Linked DNA regions of Notamacropus eugenii. The protein of the gene in region 3 purifies or fractionates together with the protein of the main gene of each other region. This does not show direct contact. Links are inferred from orthologs where the notes say so. Each region holds a gene or a part of one and is shown on either strand. Other genes may lie near its edges.

Region 1 (3,743 bases), on a different chromosome or scaffold from region 3:
TCAATCTAATAATGCAATAATACAAATATAATTATAATATTTGATATTATGTGACAAAAGCAGTAGGGTTAAAAAACAAAGGCTCTACATCTGTGACACGTCATCAGCCTACAACGACTCACAATTTTACAGCATTTTAAAAGTAGCATCGTAAGGGACGGAGCAGTGTTTTACACATTATCGTTGCTCGTCGGTTGTGTCCCACTGTTCACAACCCCATTTGGGGTTTTCTTGGCAGAGATAAATGGAGTGGTTTGTCATTTACAGATGAGGAAACTGAGGCAAATCAGGTGAAGTGACTTGCCCAGGGTCACATAGCTGGTAAGTGAGGCCAGATTTGACTCAGGAAGAGAACTTCCTTATTCCAAGCCCAGAGTTCCATCCACTGTGCCGCCTAGCTGCCCATAAGAGGCTAAAAGTAACGTAATATGGAAATGAGCTGGATGCAAAACTTTACAAAGGAGACGTAAACCTGCCAAAAAAAAAAAAAGTTGGGATATAATCCGTTAAAGCACAAAGTGCACAGTTTAAAAATTAAGGCTTTTGTGCACGTGGGCGCAGCAAACAGATGCACTGGGGCCTCGCAGTGGCCTGCAAGCACTCAGGGTTAAGGCGGGGCCTAAACCGGGCCCTCACCCGAGGCCCAGAGGGAAGTTCACAGTCATCTCAAGGCCAAAGGGCGGTTTCCACGGCAACGCAGCTGTTCTGCAGACCCTCTAGCCTCGCGCCTCTCTATGGCCCAGGGGGCGGGGCGAAAGAGGAGCGCTAAGCGGGAACCGGGGGGAATCCAAGACAGGCCATTGGACTCGGCGTCGCAGTTGCGCCGGCGAGATGGGAGGGTGCGGCTTGGGCCGGAAGTAGGCGGAAGTCGCCTGAGGGGAGAGGAAAGCCCGTGAACGGAAACGGAAGCGGAAGCGCTTCTGTCCTAGTCCTCGGTCTCCACTTCCATCCCCGCTCCCCGCCTCCTGCCCGGCGCCATGAGTGGCAGTGGCGCGGACCCCGAGGTGGTCCCAGCCCCTGCCCCTGCCCCGTCGGGCCCGGCCCCGACTCCCATCCCCACCCCCGCTCCGGCCCCGACCCCAGCCCCGGCGCCGGCGCCCGCCCTAGCCGAGAGCAAGGCCAGCCCCGCGGGAGGCGCAGGCCCCGGCCCCGGCCGGGGGGATACATCCGACCGCCGGGCCTCGGGTGAGCGGGGAGCGCGGGGGGAGCGAGCCAGGCCCCGGATGGGGTGAGGAGAGCTGGAGGGAGCTGGGGCTCTCACGTGGGAGGCATCAGCGTCGGAAAAAGTGGTGCTGCCCAAAGCGAAGCCGCCCAGCCCCTGGCTCTTCAAGGAGAAGCTGGCGGATCCCTTGGACAGCGACCGAGGCTTCCTGCCCTTGAGTCTCCGAAAGTCCTGGGCTGGGCTGGCTGGGATGGGAGCCTTCCGAAGCGCTGGGGGAACGAGGGGATGGAGGGGGTGGAGCTGAGAAGTGCGAGCCCACCGGACCGAGCGTTAGGCACCTCCAGGCCCGCAGGTCCACACTACTAGGGGGCAGTAGGGACTTCTTTGGAGTTAAGCATCGGCTTCCTCGACAAACATTCCCCCCCCCATTCTCAGGCTCCATTGAAATTCCTGTTATCTGTCCTTTGCCAGTCCCAGTGTCTGCAGCTGGGGGTACTGCCCCCCCTGAAGGTGCCATGTCTAATGGGGTGTATGTGTTACCTGGTGCTGCCAATGGAGAAGTCAAGCCTGTTGTGTCTAGTACACCTCTGGTGGACTTCCTTATGCAACTGGAAGACTACACACCCACAGTATGTATAACCATTCTACCAATTAACTTTTTTTCAGTTCCCTGCAAGCTTTTCCTGGCCAACCTATTGCCATTTCCTCATCGTTAATTTTTGTTTAGCTATGAGATCCTTCTTTCCATCTCTGCTGTAATATCTTTGACGAGCAAAGCAAAAAACTTGTCTTTTCCACGTGTCTCAGTTGGACCCTAGTTTACAGCAAATGATAAATTCTCCCAAAGGCTCTAGTTTCTTTTAAGCCACTTTCTACATGAAGCTTTTCGTTTACTAAATCCTCCCCTCTCCTTCTATCTATAGATGTGTGTGCATGCACATATTCCCACCCCCACCCTTATACTGATTAGACCATAAACTCTGAAGTTGGGGACTGTTTTTGATACCGTTTTTTGTATCCCAAGTGCCTAGCATAGTGCCTGATACAGTGTGTACTTAATAACCAATTAAAAATTTGTTGCATTCAGATTCCAGATGCTGTTACTGGCTATTACCTGAACCGTGCTGGTTTTGAAGCCTCTGATCCTAGAATGTAAGTGATTTGGGACAGTAAATCCAGTCCCCAGCATCTATCTAGTGGGCATCTCTGGCTCCTTCTTGTACACCAAGTACAGATTTCAACTTGAGGGAGGGCTGGTTTTATCCCCACATGCCAACTCCTTCTACCTTCCCAGTGTCCGGCTCATCTCCCTGGCAGCCCAGAAGTTCATCTCTGACATTGCCAATGATGCTTTACAACACTGCAAGATGAAGGGCACTGCCTCAGGCAGCTCCAGGAGCAAAAGCAAAGTGAGTAGATGGAATAGGCTGGTGATGTGATCAGTGCTCCCCTGGGGCTCTTGGTGGAATGTGGAACTTCAGAACCTTTCTGCTGGCAGGCTTCTTTAGCCCTGTGAAAGCCACAGGGATTATCATCATCCCCATTTTGTGCGCATAGAAACTGAATCCAAATTGGTTAAGTGATTTGCCTTGGGAATGTAACATGTTAGTACAAGAATCAAGACTACGTCCCTGGCTCACACTACTGCTCTTTCAACTTTCTTTCCAAGGACCGAAAGTATACCCTGACTATGGAAGACCTGACCCCTGCACTCAGCGAGTATGGCATTAATGTCAAGAAGCCACATTATTTCACCTAAGCTCACCTCTTCCCCGGCTGGCCGGGATGTGTGTGGGTGTGTACACATTTGTCCCATTCCTTCCCCACCCACCCCCACACCAGCCTGTTTTCGTAATAAACCTTTATTGTGACTGAGGCAGGTGGCTGCTCCTCCCACATTGGGAAGACACCCAGAAATGGGGCTTGGCGTGATGTGAAACAAAGCTGAGCCTACCCCCGCCCCCCCCAAGGTTGGCAGATGGGGCAGGGAGGGTAGCCCCTAAAGCTGGGGGGGGGGGGGGGGAGCTGAGGTGGCTGTACCGTTGCCAGGGGAGGGAGGGGCCCTGAGGCCTGCTGATGGGAATGGGGTATAGGTATACCCCATTCCCCCATGTGGCTCTATTTGTCCTGCATCTTTTCCAGGATGGGCACAATCATATCAAACTTGGGCCTCTTGGCTGGGTCCTCATTCATGCAGATCTTCATGAGTTTACACACATGTGGGGAGATACCTGGAGGAATGGTGGGTCGAAGGCCTTCCAGGGCAACCTACAAGCAGCAAGAATCCCTAGGTTCAAGACTTCTCTCTGTCCCATAAATCTGCTTCTACCCTCCCTTCCTCCCTTAACATGCCCCCCTGCATCTTCCAGACCTTCATGCCAATTTCCATGTTGGAGAGGTCAGCAAATGGTACCTCCCTTGTCACTAGTTCCCACAACAGCACTGCGAAGCTCCACATGTCTGCAGAACGACGATTAATCTCCTCTGGCTTCTTCTGCAGGGCTGGGTCAAGGGGAGAGGATTGGGATAAGAACCCTGATTCTTTCCTTGTCTCTCCCCACCATCCCTCCTACCACCCCCC
Region 2 (3,743 bases), about 57 Mb from region 3:
GCGGAAAATGACTCGGTCAAGGTCACTCAGCCCTGGTCCAGTGCAGGGCTGGGATCCAAATCTCGGTGCCCCATCTCCGAACCCTGTTTTTTCATGCCCCACCCCTGCCCACTTCCCCTTCTTCACTTTTTGCTCTTGCTGCCCCTCCCTGCTCCTCCTCCATCCCTCTCAGTCTTCGGGTCTCGCTCTATCATCCGCCCTCCGCGCATTTGCCCCTCTACTCATCCATCCCTGCATCCCCCCAGCCCCTGCTTCCCCCCTCCTCATCCTCCCCTTCCTCCCCCGTGCCCTCGATCCTCTACTCCCCACCCCCCGGGACGCCCCCTCATCCTCTCTGTGCCCTTCTGCCAAGTCCCTCATCCGCCCTCCGCGCCTTTGCCCCAGCAGCTCTCCCAGCCCCAGGGGCCCACTCAGGCTCCTCCCCAGTGGACCTGCCTCGGCTCCCCCACCGTCCCCTGATCCTCCTTAGCCCCTGGGAAGCCTCGGCTCCCTCCCCAGCGCAGCGTGGCCTCCCTCCCCTTGCCCCCCCGAGGATCCTCAGCGGACGCCCCCCAATTCTCACCATTGCTGGGGCTGGTTAGGCCGGAAAGCGGAAGTGCAGGAGTGCACTGGCTCCGGGGCGCCGTCTCTTCCGGGAGCCGGGCCTGGGCGCTACCACCGCTGCTCCAAGGGCAGGGGGAGCTGGAGCGAAACAACGACAGCTGTTCTCCTCTTCCCCTGAAGCTCGCAGGAACCCCTTCTCTCCGACGCTGGAAACCCTTCTTCAGGGCCTGACACGATGAGGGGAGCTCTGCCGTGTCTGTCCTTCCCTGTCACCCCTGCACCCCCCGCCTCTCTCCCCCTCCCTCAGCAAGAAGGTACAGCCCAGCTCGCCGTTCTGTCTCCATATTAGGACAGGGCCAGACACGGGATGGCCCCGCCTCTTCCGGTTCTGACCCCGCCCGCCCGTCGTCTGTTACTGCCCAGGCCCGAGCCGCCTAGGCTCCCCAGCCTCGCCCGAGAGTGGGCCCGGCCCCTTTGCACCACCCCCGGGCCGCAGTGGGCGGCTCCGCCTGTCCCTGCAGGGCCAGCAGTTACCTGAGCTCGTGGACCTGGCCCCTCCACCCGCGAGGGACCGAGGCCGGCCGAGCGAGCGCCTCGTGGGATCCGGATAGAGCTCGGGCTGTGAAGGTGGAGGCGGGACCGGGGCGTGGGGAGTGGGCGATGACACGGGGAGTGAGGAGGGGCGGGGGCTGTGGGGCTGAGGGAAGCGAGGGGAGGGGAGGATGGCTTGGGAAGGGGGGAGGGGGCGTGGAGGGGAGGGCCCATGGGGGGCTGCAGGGGAGGGGAGGGGAGGGGAGGGGAGGGGACGTGGAGGTGAGGGGCCATGGGGGGCTGCAGGGGAGGGGAGGGATGTATAGAGCAAGGGACTTGGGAGTCTGCAGGGGAGGGGAGGGGGTGTGGAGGTGAGGGGCCATGGGGGTGCTGTATGGAAGGGAAGGGGACGTGGAGGTGAGGGGCCATGGGGGGCTGCAGGGGAGGGGAGGGATGTATAGAGCAAGGGACTTGGGAGTCTGCAGGGGAGGGGAGGGGGTGTGGAGGTGAGGGGCCATGGGGGTGCTGTATGGAAGGGAAGGGGACGTGGAGGTGAGGGGCCATGGGGGGCTGCAGGGGAGGGGAGGGATGTATAGAGCAAGGGACTTGGGAGTCTGCAGGGGAGGGGAGGGGGTGTGGAGGCGAGGGGCCATTGGGGGTGCTGTATGGAAGGGAAGGGGACGTGGAGGTGAGGGGCCATGGGGGGCTGCAGGGGAGGGGAGGGATGTATAGAGCAAGGGACTTGGGAGTCTGCAGGGGAGGGGAGGGGGTGTGGAGGCGAGGGGCCATTGGGGGCTGCAGGGAAAGGATCAGTAAAAGGAATGCCCCTAATTCTGTGTTGGAGAAAGATGGAGGGGCAGGTCTAGGAGAGGGAATATGTGGAAGGTCAAGATTGGATGGCAGGAAGCAGGACCCTGACTCCATCTGCCCCTTCTCCAGCCCTCATTCTTCTAGACACTCTCAGTTGACAGTGCAGCGCTCTCTTCCGCTGGGTTTTGTGTCCCTTCTTTGTTCCACCTCTCCTCAGCATCCTTTAAACAACTGAATGACCACTCATTACAGACATACTAGCACATACCACATTGTCTAGTCAACAGACACATCTTTGTTATTGAGCAGTTGTGACTTCCAGGCACTGTGCGCAAGGGCGGGTAATACAAATGCTGGTGCAAAGGAAAGCCCTGTGCAGTAGGAGCTTCCACTCTGACAAGGGAGATGCCTTGGAAAGTCACAGGGCAGTCTGGGGAGAAATGAGACTGTTGACCTAGGCAGTCCTTCTTAAGTAGGAGTTCTGTTGGGAGCCATCCAATCAGAGGAAGAGGCTTCCTGACCCGGGCTACTTCCAAAGTGGGAGTTCCTGGACTGGAAAGAGGCTCTAGGTTGGGGGCCTGGTAGAGGAAGTCCAGTACTTAGCCTGGAGATGATGACCACGTTGGAGATACAAATATAAGACAGTGCCTGCTCTCAGGAGACTTACATTCTAATTGGGGGAGTTAATGAACATGGAAACTAGGGAAGAGAGCTTTGGTCTGAGGATTCACAGGGATGTGAGTTGTTGTACATAGGGCAGTCAGTTGACCTGTCCTTTTCAGAGGCAACGGCACTCTTGGTTTGAATACTGTGCCAAAGGTAGAAAGTTGAAGAAAGAAGGGTGCAAGGTGACAGGCAGATGGCAAGATGGAAGGCTGAATGGTATCTGATTGCCTGTTACTAGAAACAACGTGGACTAGGTTGCACTTACTCACTCACCAGTCAGGAGGACTGGGTCTGAGTGCAGAAGCATCATAGCTCACCTATAACTCTGAGCATTCTCTAGGGCTGTGACTGAGGTTCACTTCTCTGCATGTTTTTCCTTGGTGATAGCAGCTCCCATAGTTCAACTGTCATCTCTCTTACCTCTTAGAAAAGACTTTTCCTGATTTCCCCTAGTTGTAATCACTCCCTCCTCCAAATTATTTTGTATTTATTTTATGGGCATTTTTGTATTTATCTGTACACATATTGTTTCACCTCAGGAGGTTGCAGCTGACTTCCCAATCTCACATTGAAGGGTAGCATGGCATAGTGGATAGGCACTCACTGTACCTGGAGTCAGGTGGATCTGAGTTCATTTCTTCCCTTAGACGTTAGTTGTAGGATCCTTGACAATTCACTGAACCTCTCTCTGTTTTAGTTTTCTTTGAAAAGCGGAGGGTGGGGAGGGAAGGATCAGATTCCATGTTATCTAAGGTTCTTCCTAGCTCTCAGTCTATGATCCTATGAAATCCAGCTCTCACATTTGTTAGATCTGTCTCATTAGTCGCGTGCTAGACATCTCCAGGACATGCTATAGCCACTGCAATCTCGACATGTCCAAAACATAACTTCTTAACTTTTTCCTTAGACCTCTCCCTCCTCCTGCCTTTCCTGTATCTGGTGAGTATTCTCGCCATTAGGCCATGCTGCCTCTCCCTTTTGTATCTGGGAGTCAGCTTCATCTTCCTGAGGTGAAACAGATTAGCACAAACCCCACTGTCCTTCCGATCAGCCAGGTGGGGCTCGTTGTCTCATATCTCGTATTCAACCAGTTGCCAAGTCTTGGCGATTTTGCTTCCATAGCATTTCTCAAATGTGTCCTTTTGTATTTACTCCCATGCCCTTCTGTGGCTCCCTGTTGCCTCTAGGACAGA
Region 3 (3,743 bases):
ACATAGCAAATAAGTCTTTAGGCCTCTAATCAGGCAAACAATTACATGGAGAAACATTTGCAGACAAGACAAATTAAAAGGGTCACTCAGTTTTTCAGCTGGTTAAAGAAAACCAGTCCCCATCATGCCTCATTTCACACAGTGAAACATGTTTTAAGAAAAGCACACACAATCCATTAAAGAGTCATTTTTAAACAGTCTCCTGAAATTACACACACAACCATGCCCACCCCTCAAAGTCTATTTCACACCAGTCATCCCACAAAGAATGCTGCTTTGGAGCATCTTTTACATTATTGTTTTACTATACACAAACACTTAAAAGGGGCCCTAAACTACAATATTCCCTAACATTCAGGTTGGTGTGTTGTCTATTGTTCCTGCTCCCAACCCCCACCCTTTTCCCAAGCCCAACCCATCAAAGCAGATAACTGTTGCAAAGAACTGGTAACAAAATGCTTTTCCCCACTTCCCCTTAACTTCAGAATATAATTTTTAATAATGAATTTTCACGGCAAATATTACCTGAACATTCAAGGAACTTTATAGTTTTAAAAGTAGACTGGCTTACAATGTTTTGTGCAGACACAAAATGAGTGTTTTTCCCAATCTTTAGCCTCTGAAAACTTGTTATTTTTTTTAAGTTAAACTTGTCAATTTACAGTTCATATGTTTCTATTGCTTTCATTTGGAGGACTGGGGTAAGGAAAGTTTCCTGGACACCTTTTTATGTCCCATCTGTTCTTACAGATATTTAAATAAACTTAAAAAAGATAAAAACCTACTTCAAAGTAATCACCAGAATATACTTAAGCAACAACTTAATATATTCCATTTCACATTATAATAGCCACCATTTTAAACAGATTTGAAAAGTCACACTGATAAATGACTGAACCCAAATTCTACAATTAGTAAAATATTAGATTTCATCCCTGCTGTCCTGAATAGCCAATGTTGCTACCTGCACTGCTGATGCATTCTTCACCTCAGTCACCAACGTCAGACTGAAATCTGCAAAATCACTTAGAGTAAGATAAAAAAAGAACAGTTTATTCAGAGGCAGATAAGGATAAACATTTTCTGATCTTGCTGCAAAACAGTTAATAAAATTCCAATTAACAAACGAACGGGATGTCTTTACAAGAATCTAATCTGGGGATACGAATTTGAAAATATGCTCAAAAACAATCTCTTACTTTCTTGCTAAGAAGATATTAAGTTATTTCTCTTTGTCAGGCATAAAGCGAGCTATTTCTAATCACAGTGTCTTCCTGCCCTTTCTAAGGTACTTTTTATTTAAGCTTGACCTGCTACTGTTCTTGCAGACACCCCACCCTCTACACTCTACTCCCGATTTTATATATTAAATGGGGGGTGGGGTAGGGGGAAAAGTGGGAGAGCAAGGGCAGACGCAGGCTTCCAGCATCTGGACCTATCCAAAACCCTGGACTAGGAAACGGTTTGCTTAAGTGCCTCAGTTGTAACTACATCTTAGTAATTCACCAGTCGTTGACACACAGTGAATTACAGATCCAGTTCTCTCTTTCAGTTTCCTTGTCCCAGGTGACCTCCCCACAGTCCATCACTGATGACACTGGACCCTGAGTTGAGTCAGGAAGGTGGCCGGCTCTCTGGGCAGGATCCTCTGCAGACCCCCAACCAGATGTGCCTAGAATCTCCTTCCTCTTTCTTTTTTTTTTTTTTTTTAAATACCCCACCCCCCTCCTTCCTCTTCCTCCTCCCTTGTACGCTTTCTTGCAGTAGTCTTATGCTGGGAAACCCTGAATCCCTCGAGTAGCAATCCAGAGCTCAGCCTAGGGGAGATCCTTCCTGCGCTGGTGCCTGCATCCAAGTGAATCACAAACCATGAGAAGTGGGGGACCCCCCCAAAAAATAAGTAAACGGTTTCTTCCCCCAGATCTGATACGCCCACTGAAACACACACTCACACACTCCTTCCTCACCCCCGCACAGGCCTCCCACTCCCAGCTCCAAGCGGCCAGGAAGGACAGGGGGGCATTGCGGGGAGCCACCGCCCCCTCCTCCCCTCCACACCCCCATCCATTTCATCTCTCCACCCCCCTTCCCAGGCCTGGGCCGTCCCGGCCCCGGGGAGGGGGGGTGCAGAGGATTAAGGTGCTTTTCCCCTCTCCCCTCCCTCCCTCCGTCCGTCCCACCCCACCGCCCCACACCCTCTTCCCCTTCCCCGCCCAGGAAGGGGATGCAAGCCCGTGCAGCCGTGGCCCCCCGCCCCGGGTGGGAAGGCAGCTCCCCTGCAGCCCGGGGGTCCCACCTTGCGCTTCCTGGTCTCGGGGGTCCCGCTCCACACGAAGCACTGGTAGATGACCCGCAGGTTCTGCCGCCAGTTCTCCACCTTAAAGCTGTTCACATGCGAGCAGCCGGCCGGACTCATGACAAACTCCACATCCAGGCACCCGCCGCCGGGGCCGCGCCGGGGCCGGGGCCGGGGCCAGGGGCGGCGGCGGCGGCAGCAGGGGGGGCACGGCTCCGGCGGCTCGGGCCGGGGCCGGGGCCGGGGGGTGGGACGCCGCCGCCGCCGCCGCCGCCGCTCCGCGCCGGGTCCTCCTCCTCAGGCTCCGGCTCAGCTCCGCGGCCCAAACCCTGCCTCCGCCGCCGCCGCCGCCGCCGCCGCCTCCTGGTCCGGCGGCGCCTCCTCCCGGGGCTCAGGCTGCTGCTGCGGGGGGCGGCGCGGGGGGCACATAGACCCGGGGGAGGGTCCCCCGCTCCCTCCCGGCCTGAGGCGAAAGCGGCTCGGAACAAAGCGCGGCGGCCGCGGCTGCGGAGGAGGAGGAGGTGGAGGAGGAGTGGAGGAGGAGGAGGGGGGCAGACAAAGATGGGGCTTTAACCGAGCGGCAGGCGAAGCGGCGGCGGCGGCGACGCCCCCGGGATTCCTCCGGCCGCCCGCTCGCTCGCTGCCCCGGCCCCCGAGGCTGAGCCCGGCCGAGGCTGAGGCTGAGGCGGCGGCGCCGCTGCTGCTGCTGCAGCTGCTGCTGCTGCCGCCGCCGCTGCTGCTGCTTCCACTGCCGCGGCTGCCACCCGGGTCCCGCTTCCTCTAATTCATTGAGGCCGGCGGGAGGGGAGGCTGGGGGAGGGGAGGGGAGGGGGGGATGGGGAGGGTCGGGGGCGGCCGGTGTTTATTTGCGCTCCCCCCGCCCGCGCTGTCTCTTTAAATCGCTCCGCCGCGCTCTCCGCTCCCGATCGCCGCCGCCCCCCCAACCACCCCCCGCTCCCCACCCCCCTTCTCTTCTTCTCCTCCTCCTTCTCCCCGCTCCCTCAAGCCCGACCAACCTAGCTCGCCAGACGCCCAAGGGGGGAGGGAAGGAGGGAAGGCAGAGAAGGAGGGAAAAGGGGCACCCCCCGAGTCCCGCCCCTGTGACGCCGCGACGGGCCTGTTTCTCCCGTCACTCCCGTCGGGGCAGCCAGCGGCTCTACCCATTGGTGAGGGCCGCCGTCCGTCCGGCGCGGCCCCGCCCTCTTTTCATTTCAAACTCAGGGCGCAGTCGCCAGTCTCTCTCCCCCCGCCCCCCGCAGGAGGCGTGTGCGGGCTGGGGATTGGCCGGCCGCGCCTCTCCGTCTGGGAGCTGAGCCCGCCCGCGGCAGGCTGGGTTGTGGGAGCAGCGCTGCTGTCATATCCGCTTCTGCCTTCGGCTTCTCTCAGTTACCCCAGTGATTTCCTGCGAGGGAGGGACGGGCTGGGGGAAAGCTGGGGCCGGAGGAGG

What was found.
Region 1: the proteins of USP22 (region 3) and TAF10 purify together in Homo sapiens (affinity purification with mass spectrometry; 4 studies listed by BioGRID, with this or other methods). This does not show direct contact. The link is inferred for Notamacropus eugenii from reciprocal best matches to the Homo sapiens genes USP22 and TAF10.
Region 2: the proteins of USP22 (region 3) and TADA3 purify together in Homo sapiens (affinity purification with mass spectrometry; 5 studies listed by BioGRID and IntAct, with this or other methods). This does not show direct contact. The link is inferred for Notamacropus eugenii from reciprocal best matches to the Homo sapiens genes USP22 and TADA3.

The regions. Positions count from the first base shown.
Region 1 is NC_092876.1:88,821,250-88,824,992, forward strand, and holds the start of TAF10 (transcription initiation factor TFIID subunit 10), read left to right. Parts: upstream 1-870; 5' UTR 871-977; coding exon 978-1,185; intron 1,186-1,633; coding exon 1,634-1,791; intron 1,792-2,249; coding exon 2,250-2,314; intron 2,315-2,456; coding exon 2,457-2,571; intron 2,572-2,831; coding exon 2,832-2,921; 3' UTR 2,922-2,957; exon of another isoform or gene 2,958-3,280; coding exon of another isoform or gene 3,281-3,430; intron 3,431-3,533; coding exon of another isoform or gene 3,534-3,664; intron 3,665-3,743. Other genes in the region: scaffold protein ILK, read right to left, coding at 3,281-3,430, 3,534-3,664. UniProt on the Homo sapiens protein: The TFIID basal transcription factor complex plays a major role in the initiation of RNA polymerase II (Pol II)-dependent transcription.
Region 2 is NC_092874.1:435,652,482-435,656,224, forward strand, and holds the start of TADA3 (transcriptional adapter 3), read left to right. Parts: upstream 1-1,031; 5' UTR 1,032-1,170; exon of another isoform or gene 1,171-1,172; intron 1,173-3,743. Other genes in the region: ARPC4 (actin-related protein 2/3 complex subunit 4), read right to left, coding at 563-565. UniProt on the Homo sapiens protein: Functions as a component of the PCAF complex. The PCAF complex is capable of efficiently acetylating histones in a nucleosomal context. The PCAF complex could be considered as the human version of the yeast SAGA complex.
Region 3 is NC_092874.1:378,784,747-378,788,489, forward strand, and holds the start of USP22 (ubiquitin carboxyl-terminal hydrolase 22), read right to left. Parts: upstream 2,493-3,743; 5' UTR 2,417-2,492; coding exon 2,297-2,416; intron 1-2,296. UniProt on the Homo sapiens protein: Deubiquitinase that plays a role in several cellular processes including transcriptional regulation, cell cycle progression or innate immunity.